Macaca mulatta: one gene and its partners. The protein of the gene in region 2 interacts with the protein of the main gene of each other region in a pairwise test. Links are inferred from orthologs where the notes say so. Each region holds a gene or a part of one and is shown on either strand. Other genes may lie near its edges. The genes, in order: PHOSPHO2, NAB2 and PHF1.

Region 1 (2,615 bases), on a different chromosome or scaffold from region 2:
GGAGGCTGAGGTGCGAGGATCACTTGGGGGCTGCAGTGTGCGAAGATCAAGTCACTGCAATCCAGGCTAGGTGACAGAGACCTTGTCTCAAAAGAGGAGGAATATCTAAAAGAATAAAATATGCTTACTTGCTCGAGAAATAAATTTAAAAATATAACCTATCAACCACCTTTAGTGGAGACCACTAGCTGTACCTACCTCAATTCTGTACTTTTTCCCCCAACTTTTCCTGGGCACGTGACTACCTGGAATGAAAGCTGTATTTTCCATCTTTCTTTGCTATTTACAAGTAAGGCATTATGACAAAATTTGGCCAATGATACTTCAATAGAAGTATTGGGTACAACTTCTGGGAAATTTCTTTAGACAGGGAATGTAACTTTCTCACTGCCCTCCTTGCTGGCCAGAGTGCTGCTGTGAGGGCTAGAGCTTCACCAGCAACCTTGGATCAAGGGTTGAATGCCAAGTGCTGAGGTTGGTAGACTAATACAGCAACTTGAAATACTTACCTCTGGAATTCTTTTATGTGAGAGGAAAAAAAAATTCTCTGTCTGTTTTTTTTAAGCCTCTGGTATTTGGGGTTTTAGTTTTATGCTGCTGAACCTAATCTTAAGTGATACACTTTGCAATTGCTGGCATATTAATTAATCCTTTATTAGAAATTGTAAATGAGAAATTATATCAACACCTGAGGACCAAACTACAACAGAATATTCCATAGGCTCAAGATTTTGAGACATTCTGGAAAGAGTTTTCTGTAAGGTATATCCTTTCCGTGGCATGGCAACATCATCATTCTTTAAAAAGGTGACTGGACAGACATCATTTCCACCATCACCAATATAAACAATTTGTGTATAATTCACTCCCTGTTGTAACTGTTTATCTACAAATTCTATCAAAACTACCTTTTTGCAAAGATTCTTTGGGCATCTATTGCAAGAATGAGTATGATAATTTTCCACAGTGAGATGACCACTGCTATTAAAAGCTGCTGGATTTGTAAACACTTTATCAAATACATCATGAAAACTGGCAGCTTTTAAAACCCAATCTATGAAGACCGAATTTGAATCTGAAATAATAATGCAGTCAAATTTATCCTTATTCTTTCTTATAAAGTTGAAGAGTTCCACCATCCCTGGAGTGAAAGGCAATGATGTCACTGCTCTTTTCATTTCATGTTCTCTTACACCTTTATCTCCCAAATACTTAAAGACTCTGCCCATAAATTCTGTCCAAAATCCTTTTTGATAAGAATCACGTAGTTCAATAGGAAGTTTTTTGTTGGGAGCACATTGTACAATCCAAGTGTCACTATTGTCATCTATGATCGTATTGTCAAAGTCAAAAACTAGCAAAATTTTCATGGTTCCAGAAGTAGATATGGATTATCCTGAAAAAGAAAAAATATTATTCTCTAAACAAACTCTGTTTACATATCTAACTAAAACACTTATTTAATAAACATAACTAAATGTTAATATGTTAAAAGAAGGAATATAAACAAAGTGATTAAGCACTTCGAGACCACTACCTAACCACTTTTCTCTAAGAAGCAAAGTTCATATTTGAGTATTTTAAGTGGAAAACAAAATATATAAAAAGGACATTCATAGTATTATTGTGTTCCTGGGGGTGTGTTTCTTATAGGAGTTATAAGAAAGAAAAAAAAGGCATTCTTACTATGATCACATTATCAATCAAACCACACTTATTTTATTAGATTAAAATATTTACAATCCTCATATTAAATAATAGGTCATGTATAAAGGATTCTCTGTGTACTACCCAAAATCCTGAACAAATTTAACATACCATGAAATCTTGCAAGATGTAAAATAATTTTTTAAAAAAGGTATTTGCTAACAAAAACAAGTGGGGAAAGGATTCCCTATTTAATAATGGTGCTAGGATAGCTGGCTAGCCATATGCAGAAAACTGAAACTGGACCCCTTCTTTACACCATATACAAAAATCAACTCAAGGTGGATTAAAGACTTAAGTGTAAAACCCAAACTATAAAAAAACCTAGAAGAAAATCTAGGTGATACCATTCAGGACACAGCACAGGCAAAGATTTCATGACAAAGATGCCAAAAGCAAATGCAACAAAAGCAAAAATTGACAAATGGTATCTAATTAAACTAAAGAGCTTCTGCACAGCAAAAGAAACTATCAACAGAGTAAACAGACAACTTAGAGAATGGGAGAAAATTTTTGCAATTTATCCATCTGACAAAGGTCTAATATCCAGCAATTATTATAAAGTTGAAAAATTATACCATCCCTGAAGTGAAAGGCATTGATGTCACTGCGCTTTTCATTTTATATTACACCTTTAGCTCCCAAATATTTAAAGACTCTGCTCATAAAATCTGCCCACAATCCTTTTTGGTAAGAATCATGTAGTTCCTTGTTAAGGAACTTAAACAAATTTACAAGAAAAAACAAACAGCCCCATTAAGAAGTGGGGAAAGGACACAAACAGACAATTCTTGAAAGAAGACAATACATGTGCCCAAGAAATATATGAAAGAAAAAAAAAAGCTCAACATCACTGATCATTAGAGAAATGCAAACTAAAGCCACAATGAGATACCATCGTATACTAG
Region 2 (4,308 bases):
CCCCCACCAGCCCCCCTTTCCCTGGGGCTTAGAGCCTTTGGGCCGGGCCCTCAGAGCCCCCGCCTCCCCCAACAGCCCTCCCAGCCGTGGGCGGGAGTGCAATGCGAACCAGATGGGGCTAGGAGAAACCAAAGGGGGAGACGGTGGTGGGTTGCAGGAGGTGGGGGACTAAGCTCCTTCAAGGCGCTCCTCCCTCCAGCTCCGCCGCAGGAAGTCACGTCGGAGGCTCCCGACCTCTTATCTTCCACTTGACTCTCGGGCGAGGTCCCTAATAGACGGCCCCAGGAAGGGTATCGTCTTTGTCTCAGCCTTGCCACACAAAATTCCCAAGCAGGGCCTCATCCTCAGCAAACAGAGGACAAGTGGAGGAATCCCTGCCTGACCTACGCGCTGACAAAACCCGATGCGTCTAATCAACACGCGCACCTAAGTGGTGGCATGCAGCATAACCCCCCCATCCCTGTTTCCCAAACTTTTCCAGGCTAGCATGGAGGCCTCGGTTTCTGAAAGCTGCCCCCTCAGATTACTCCACTGGGGGGCTGGGGAGGGGCGCGGGGATATCTAGGGGATCCCTGCAGAACCCCACGCTCTCAGGCCTGCCTTAAGTGCACACATATTATGGGAGTCAGATGCACACACAGGAGGAGCCGCACACCCCAGCCTTCGCGAACTTTTCCCGACTGACTCCTAACATTCACAGGTCCAGCACCACAAGGCCTGAGTGTGGGCAACGGGCGTCCCCGTAGTTGTTTAGGCGCGTGTGCACGTCCGTGCGCTTCTTTGTGTACTTGTGCGTGGTTGTGAAACTCCTCTCAACTCGGAGGAGTGGGGGAGACTAGGAATGTCGCCGGCGGGGCGCTCACGTGGGTACGTGGGCGCCAAGAGGGCCGGCTGTGCATCCGGCGTGGGCGGCACAGAGCGACCTCGCCCCGCCCGCTGGGTCCCCAAGCCCGCCCTCCACAGCCGGGTCTCGGTCACCTCGGTCCCCAATTCGGCGCCTCGGCTCTGAATCCCCGCCCCCGCCTCCTGCTCCACACCCCCTCCCCCCAGTCTCCGCCTCTCCCAGTCTCTAAGCCGCGGCGTCTCCGCGGCCGAGAGGCCCTGGTGCCCGCCCCCCGGCCCCCGCCCCCACCCCCGCCCCCGGCTCTGCCCACGCCCTCCGCCCGCCAGCCCGGCAGCCAGCGCAGCGCCGGGCCTCGCTCCCCGTGCGTCCTGCGGGGGCGGAGGCGCGGAGAGGCGGCGAGCGCAGCCGGGGAGGGTGGGGGGGGCAGAGGCACAGACAGAGGCGCGGAGGCTCGGAGAGAGAAGACGTGGAGGGAGGGACAGAGCCTGGACAGCGGTGGACACGGCATCGTGCGCGGGGCAGAGTGCAGCACGCAGCAGGCGCCGAGCGCTGGGCACCGAGAAGAGCAACCCGGGTGGTCTCCGGCCGTCCATGCACAGAGCGCCTTCCCCCACAGCCGAGCAGCCGCCGGGCGGAGGGGAGAGCGCCCGCCGGACCCTGCAGCCCAGACTCAAGTTAGTGGGCAAAGGGAGGCAGCGGGGAGTGGAGATGGGTGGAGCTGGACTTGGGAATGGGGTCCAGAGGGCGGAGGTCGAGGGGAGGACGTGGGGAAGCGGGACGGGGGTGGGGGGTGGAGACTGATGGAAAAGGGGGTGCGTCTTCGAATTAGGGGGCCCTGGGAGCAGGCAAACATCTGATGAAGCTGGATATGAAAGAGTAGTACCTAAATATCCATTCCTGGTTTACTCTGTGGGCTCTCTCTGGCCTAAGTGCCCCCTGTAAAGAACGTGGGAGCCTCCTAGCACCAGGGAATGCCCTGGAGCTCGAGCTGGCGTCAGTGCGGAAGGTGGGGGGACGCTCAGTTGCCTCAGTCCCTCGTTGGCACGGAGCGCGCGGGCCCCCGGGGTCCAGGAGAAGGCGGTGCCTTTGAGTTAAAGGACCATCAGCTGGGGGAAGGGGGGTGACGAGGGAGGCAGGGAGGCCTTAGGCAGTTCCTTCCTATATCTGTCCCTTTATGCACAGAGTGGGGAGGGGAGTTTCAGTGTGCAGCCCCTTCTGCAAGAGGCCTTGAGCCTCTCCCCTACTCCACTTGAAGATGCGGGTGGAAAATAAGGGAGAGGAGAGTAGGCGGGAGCCCCTGGGCGGTTTTCGCCCACAGACGCTACCACTGTGGGAGTGTGTGTGGGCGGAACGGCCCCGGAGCAGAACAATTGCGCCCCTCCCCCTGCCGCAGCCCCTGAGCTGAAGGAAAAGGCCGACTGAGGAAGTGGGGAGTGTCACTGCTAGGAGAGGGGCCACTGAGGAGCACTGGGCAGCCTGGAAGGGTGGAGAGGTCCTGGGGGGAGAGAGGAAGCGTGCTGGTTAAGAATGCTTAACCAGGCCATTCTTAACCAGGCCGGGCGCGGTGGTTCACGCCTGTAATCCCAGCACTTTGGGAGGCCAAGGCGGTTGGATCACGAGGTCAGGAATTCGAGACCACCCTGACCAACATGGTGAAATCCCGTCTCTACTAAAAATACAAAAATTAGCTGGGCGTGGTGGCGGGCGCCTGTAATCTCAGCTACTCAGGAGGCTGAGGCAGGAGAATCGCTTGAACCCAGGAGGCGGAGGTTGCCGTGATAGCGCCACTGCACTCCAACCTGGGTAACAGAGCGAGACTCTGTCTTAAAAAAAAAAATGCTTAATCCCTCGGAAAAGCTGAGCGGAGAAGAGCAAGGCACCACCTGGCTCACTGAGTGGGAAAGCCAGGGAAGGTGCCACACCCTCCCTCCTAGCCACCTGGGGCTGTGGCTACTTCACAGGGAATGAAGCTGGCCAGCAGCGTCCACTGTGCGGGAGACGGGTTCTACGTTCACTTTAGTATAGGCGACTTCACTTCAGTGTTGAGACTGCTGAGTGTTTAGGGTGGAAGGTGAGGATTGTGTTTTGGGGGAGAGGGAGGTCCAGCCATCCGAGGTCGGTGCTGGTTAGCCTCAGCGCTCAAGTTCTTCTTACCTCAGACCAAAAAGATAAAAGCTGAAGATAAGGTTTAAGAGGCTTCGACTCCTGCAGACACAGGGCACTGGTTTTTGGGGCTTCAGGCCAGTCTAGGACAGCACTGGCTTGTCCATGCCTCTGAGCAGTGCCTGATTCTCAGAGTCTGTACTCAGACCTGGGCACTGCGCAGGACAGCATCCAAATGAGAGAGGGGAAGAAAAGCAGGCAGGAAAGAGGGAACAATTGTTAGTGTGGGTTGGTACCCAGTAGGGGACTTGCACCGACTGCCTCTCTCTTGTGCCCCTCCTCAGGCCCAGTGCCCGAGCCATGGCACTGCCTCGGACGCTGGGGGAGCTGCAGCTGTACCGGGTCCTGCAGCGTGCCAACCTCCTTTCCTACTATGAGACCTTCATCCAGCAGGGAGGGGACGACGTGCAGCAGCTGTGTGAGGCGGGTGAGGAGGAGTTTCTGGAGATCATGGCACTTGTGGGCATGGCCACCAAGCCCCTCCATGTCCGGCGCCTGCAGAAGGCACTGAGAGAGTGGGCCACCAATCCAGGGCTCTTCAGTCAACCAGTGCCTGCTGTTCCCGTCTCCAGCATCCCGCTCTTCAAGATCTCTGAGACTGCGGGTACCCGGAAAGGGAGCATGAGCAATGGCCATGGCAGCCCTGGGGAAAAGGCAGGCAGTGCCCGCAGTTTTAGCCCCAAGAGCCCCCTTGAACTTGGAGAGAAGCTATCACCACTGCCTGGGGGACCTGGGGCAGGGGACCCCCGGATCTGGCCAGGCCGGAGCACTCCAGAGTCGGACGTTGGGGCAGGAGGAGAAGAGGAGGCTGGCTCGCCCCCCTTCTCCCCCCCTGCAGGGGGAGGAGTCCCTGAGGGGACTGGGGCTGGGGGGCTGGCAGCAGGTGGGACTGGGGGTGGACCAGACCGACTGGAGCCAGAGATGGTACGCATGGTGGTGGAAAGTGTGGAGAGGATCTTCCGGAGCTTCCCAAGGGGGGATGCTGGGGAGGTCACATCCCTGCTAAAGCTGAATAAGAAGCTGGCACGGAGCGTTGGGCACATCTTTGAGATGGATGATAACGACAGCCAGAAGGAAGAGGAGATCCGCAAATACAGCATCATCTATGGCCGTTTCGACTCTAAGCGGCGGGAGGGCAAGCAGCTCAGCCTGCACGAGGTGAGAACCCCCAGGCCTCCTAGGATTGACCTTGACTCCCGGGCCTCCAGCCGCTTACTTCTGCAAGTTTCTACGGTCTCCAACTCTGTTTCATTACCCCTTGACCAGGACCCCAGGCCCTGATCCCCTCCCTGACAGGCCCC
Region 3 (4,152 bases), on a different chromosome or scaffold from region 2:
GAAGAGACTGGAGTGGAGACAGGCATGGGAACTGAGGGTGGAGCACGAAGAGAACACCTTGGCTTCTGGAGAGTCTGCCTTGGTCTCACCTGTCCCCATAGAGGAGGGGCTTGCTCAGACACTGGGTGCAGGCCTCATGGAACCACTGCAGGCAGCTCCGGCACTGCAGCATTTTCAGGTTCCACCTGAGGGGGAACATAGGACTTCTGGCCTCCAGAAACCCCCTTCCCCATAACTGCCCCAAACCCTAAACTTACCTCCCATCCCCCTGAGTGCTACCCTCATCCTGTTCTTTTTCCTTCATTTCCTGGGAGGCACCACCACATCATTCATTCCACAGTCTGCTCCCCCTCATTACTCACTCCCCAGGGCCACCACAGTAACAGTAACTCTGCTGTCGGTTGCTCAGATGTCCAGCATCCCAGTCCAGCCCCTTCAGTCCATATGGCAGAGAGAGCTTCATACCCAGCATGGCCCGGGCATAGGGGCCCTTCTTCAGGGCACCTCCCCTCTGCAGAGACAGGACAGGTGGATGACTTCAGAGGGGTGGGGAGAGGAAAAGGCTTGGGAGAGGATGTGGATGGGAGGCTCTCACAGGAAGGGGTAACAGGGAAGTGCCTTTACCTTGGTGGCGATCGCAAAGACACACTGGCGGCATACCCAGGATGTGCCCTCTCCCTCTCCAGGGGCTGGGGCCCTGGGAACATGGCAGTCCTGGTGATAAGCTGAAGAGTGATAATGTTAATAGTAGACCACTTATTGCATACCTGTGTGTGCTTGGTATTGGGACAGGAATAGTCTTTACCCATCTCATTTAATCCTTGACCATGTTCTTGATGAGAGGGTACATGATCCTTATTTTACGAGTCAGGGAACTGAGGCTCCTAGAGGTTAAGGGACTTGTCCAAGGTCATATGGTTAGAAAAGGATGCAGTTAAATCATCCTCTGCTTGCAAAGGTTACACCACCCCTTTCCATGGCTGCTTCTCCCTGGGCTGAAAGGGGATGAGGACTAAGATAGGGCTAAGCAGCCTGGCCAGAGCAGTGGCTTGGGGACTAAGGCCACGACAGGTGACATAAGGACCATCCTGGAGGGAAGAGCAAGCTAGACCATTCAGGTGACCTGCCCTCTCACCATGGCGACACTTCTCACAGCTGACCAGCCGGTTCCCAGGGACCACAGTCTCAGAGCGACAGACACAACAGAGGAGTTCCTCCCCAGGGAGGGCAGCTGTGAGAGAACACAGTGTCACGGGGCCTGCCCTTAAGTCTCTTTCTGCCCCTCTAAGCCAGGTTTGTTTTCCATGGGATGTGCAATCTCAGGTCTCTAGTCTTACCAGGGCTAATGTCTTTCCATAGAACCAGAAACTGCGAATCATCCTCAAACTGGACCAGACACACCTCTCTAGCACTGTCCACCTGGAATGGGTGAGCAAAGAGAATGAAATGGGAACCAGAATTAGATAAGGGAAATAGGAAAAAGATCAGAGGTAGAAGGTCTTACCTTTTTGATGGTACCCAAGTATAGCAGCCCATCAGTCCATCTGGCCAGCACATCTTGACCCTCCCAAAGTCGAGGCCTGGGGCCAGAGGTGGGAGCAGGAGAAGCTGGGTCCCAAAGTGAGGAGGTACCAGAGCGGCTCAGCCGGGGGGGCTGCGCCATTGCATCCTGGGGGGGCCTAGCCAGAAAAGAAATGGGGAGGAGAAGGTTATGAATGCTCAGAAAGCTTCCCCATTTTTTTTTTCTGAGATGGAGTTTTGCTCTGTCGCCCAGGCTGGACAATCTTGGCTCACTGCAACCATCACCTCCTGGGTTCAGGCAATTCTCCTGCCTCAGCCTCCCAAGTAGGTGGGATTAAAGGTCTACCCACCACCACGCCTGGCTATTTTTTGTATTTTTAGTAGAGAGGGGGTGTTGGCCATGTTGGCCAAACTGGTCTCGAACTCCTGACCTCATGATCCACCCACCTCAGCTTCCCAAAGTGTTGGGATTACAGGCGTGAGCCACCGCGCCCGGCCAACTTCCCCATTTTCTTTGCCTATTTTGCCGTCAAGAATGAAGGATCTGTGCCCCCATCTCCAAATCCCTGAGACACCTGGATAGGAAACCACCAGGCACCCATCACCAGCTTCTTGAGTCCTCTTTCAACTCTAGTGACTGGCTCTCCTCACGGTAACTGCCCTCCCCCCAACCCCAAACCTAGTTGCTAGTTTCCCAGCTTCCAGAGCTCTCCTGGGATATTATATCCTGGCCTTGAAATTTTAGGAGAAATTACGGTTGTAGAAGCAAAGGCTACCACTCAGTTTAGAGGTATCATAATTAGGGTGTCCTGTTGCCCAGAGATGTGTTTTGGGACCTTTTCTGGAGATGTTTTCCAGAGCAGAAACGGCTGTCTCCCCAGGCCTGCGTGTCTCATTAAGAACAATCATCCTGGTGCCAGGTTATGTCAGGTCACCCTCAAATTCGGGGCTCCCTGCCCCCGGGTTAGACAACTTCTCCGAGTGCCCCGGGAGGGGGGCGTGTCCCAGTCCTGGTCTCCACTCCCCAGGACCGCAAGTCCGAGAAGGGACTTGAGTCGGCCCAGCTCGGACCCGAGGCCAAGGCGGCGAGGCTCTCCCGCCCGCGCCCCGCGCCGACCCCCGGCTCCCTGCCCCCCACCGGCGCCTCCTGCCGCCTCCTTACCGGTGACAGCTGGGGCCGCCAGGAGCCGGGCAGGGGCAGACGTAGGAGACCTAGGCGAGTCCCCCGCGCGGAGAGGGCACGTCCGGGCGTGGGGGGGTTGTGCAGGCGGAGGCCGGGGGGTCCCCAGGCCCAGCCCCTCCGTCCCGGCGGCTCTGGGGCGTATGACGCAGCAGCCAAAGCAGCAGCAGCGGCAGGAGGAGGAGGCGGCGGGGGGGAGGGAGGGGAGGGACGGACCGGTTGGGGGGGAGGGTGGTGGGAGGGGAGGACTGGGGGGAAGGAGGAGCCGGAGGGGGGGGCGGGCACCACCTCACCCCACCTCCCTCACCTCCGACAGGCCTGGAGGGTGCCGAGGAAGAGGCAGGCCCTCCACGGCTTGGGAAGCAAAGAGTCGGACCCGGTGGGAGAGGGAATCCCCTCAGCCCCTTCCTCCGACCTGAGACTCGCCCTTGGGGCACGAGGGAATCCCCCCTCCCGGCAGCGCGCCTCCGGACTGGTCCCCCGCCCCATGCCACATCCGTTAACTGCCCCACCCCCCATGGTCACTCCAAGTCCCGCCCCCCGGCCCCAGTTCACGGCCCCGCCCTCCATTCACCCTTCTCGATGCCCCCACCACGCCCTCCTCCCTCGCGCGCCCCGCCCTCCACTCGCCGTTAGCCCCAGCCCCGCCCTCCCCGTGGCGAGTCGCGCCCCACCCGCCGCCCTTTTGCGCACGCGTGTCCCCTCCTGCGCGCGGCACCTGGGAGGACTGAGCTCCTCCTTCACGGGGCGGCGGCCGTCGGCGGTTGGCGAGAGGGAGTCGGCGGGCGTGCGCGCCGCTTCCCGGGTACGTCCCGCCCCGTGCTTCCAGGGCTGGCGCAAAGACGAAGGGGGCAAGGACCCGAGGCGGTGACGCCACCGAGAGCCAGCCAATGGGCAGCGAGCGGGCAGAGCCCCAGCCGTTCGAACGGAAAGGCAGGGAAAGGGCGGGAGGAAAGAGCCAGCAGTTTGGGAGCGCGCGCTAGCCCCGCCTCTGGACTCCGGGGTCCGGTCCCCATTTGCCGACACCCACCAAAGGAACGTTGCTCCCTGGGGCTGGGGTGGCCGGCGGAAGGGTGAAACTTATCTAGATAACTAGTGACCAAGGAGAGGGCGTGGATAGCTAGAGGGCACGCCTCCCTGATGTGAGGGACGGGGGAGGGGGTATTAGCAGAGGGGAAAATGATCCAGACCATGGTCCAGAACCGGTGAGCTAAGGAGGGGAAAAGCCCAAGCCCTCAGCCCCCGCTCCCGCCTCCCACACAAACGTTTGGCAGAGGGGACAGATCACAGCTCCCACCTTTACAGATATGAAAATATCTGCCTTCTTGGGCAGATAAACCTTTATTTAAAAAAAAAAAAACAACTATTCTTTATTTGATAGCCCTGGGACATGGTGCCCTCTACCCAATAAAGCACCAGCCAGCAACCCTCCCACTCCTCACCCAATACAT

Evidence for each region.
Region 1: the proteins of NAB2 (region 2) and PHOSPHO2 interact in binary tests that used the Homo sapiens proteins (3 or more experiments, as listed by UniProt). The two-hybrid records come from large-scale screens. The link is inferred for Macaca mulatta from reciprocal best matches to the Homo sapiens genes NAB2 and PHOSPHO2.
Region 3: the proteins of NAB2 (region 2) and PHF1 interact in binary tests that used the Homo sapiens proteins (3 or more experiments, as listed by UniProt). The two-hybrid records come from large-scale screens. The link is inferred for Macaca mulatta from reciprocal best matches to the Homo sapiens genes NAB2 and PHF1.

The regions. Positions count from the first base shown.
Region 1 is NC_133417.1:74,621,902-74,624,516, reverse strand, and holds the end of PHOSPHO2 (pyridoxal phosphate phosphatase PHOSPHO2), read right to left. Parts: intron 1,397-2,615; 5' UTR 1,371-1,396; coding exon 645-1,370; 3' UTR 630-644; downstream 1-629. UniProt on the Homo sapiens protein: Phosphatase that has high activity toward pyridoxal 5'-phosphate (PLP).
Region 2 is NC_133416.1:64,244,505-64,248,812, forward strand, and holds the start of NAB2 (NGFI-A-binding protein 2), read left to right. Parts: upstream 1-1,401; 5' UTR 1,402-1,435; coding exon 1,436-1,518; exon of another isoform or gene 1,519-1,519; intron 1,520-3,291; coding exon 3,292-4,165; intron 4,166-4,308. UniProt on the Homo sapiens protein: Acts as a transcriptional repressor for zinc finger transcription factors EGR1 and EGR2. Isoform 2 lacks repression ability.
Region 3 is NC_133409.1:148,867,519-148,871,670, forward strand, and holds the start of PHF1 (PHD finger protein 1), read right to left. Parts: upstream 2,898-4,152; 5' UTR 2,684-2,897; intron 1,680-2,683; 5' UTR 1,664-1,679; coding exon 1,505-1,663; intron 1,420-1,504; coding exon 1,338-1,419; intron 1,232-1,337; coding exon 1,136-1,231; exon of another isoform or gene 810-1,135; coding exon of another isoform or gene 806-809; intron 726-805; coding exon 625-725; intron 512-624; coding exon 363-511; intron 186-362; coding exon 90-185; intron 1-89. UniProt on the Homo sapiens protein: Polycomb group (PcG) that specifically binds histone H3 trimethylated at 'Lys-36' (H3K36me3) and recruits the PRC2 complex. Involved in DNA damage response and is recruited at double-strand breaks (DSBs).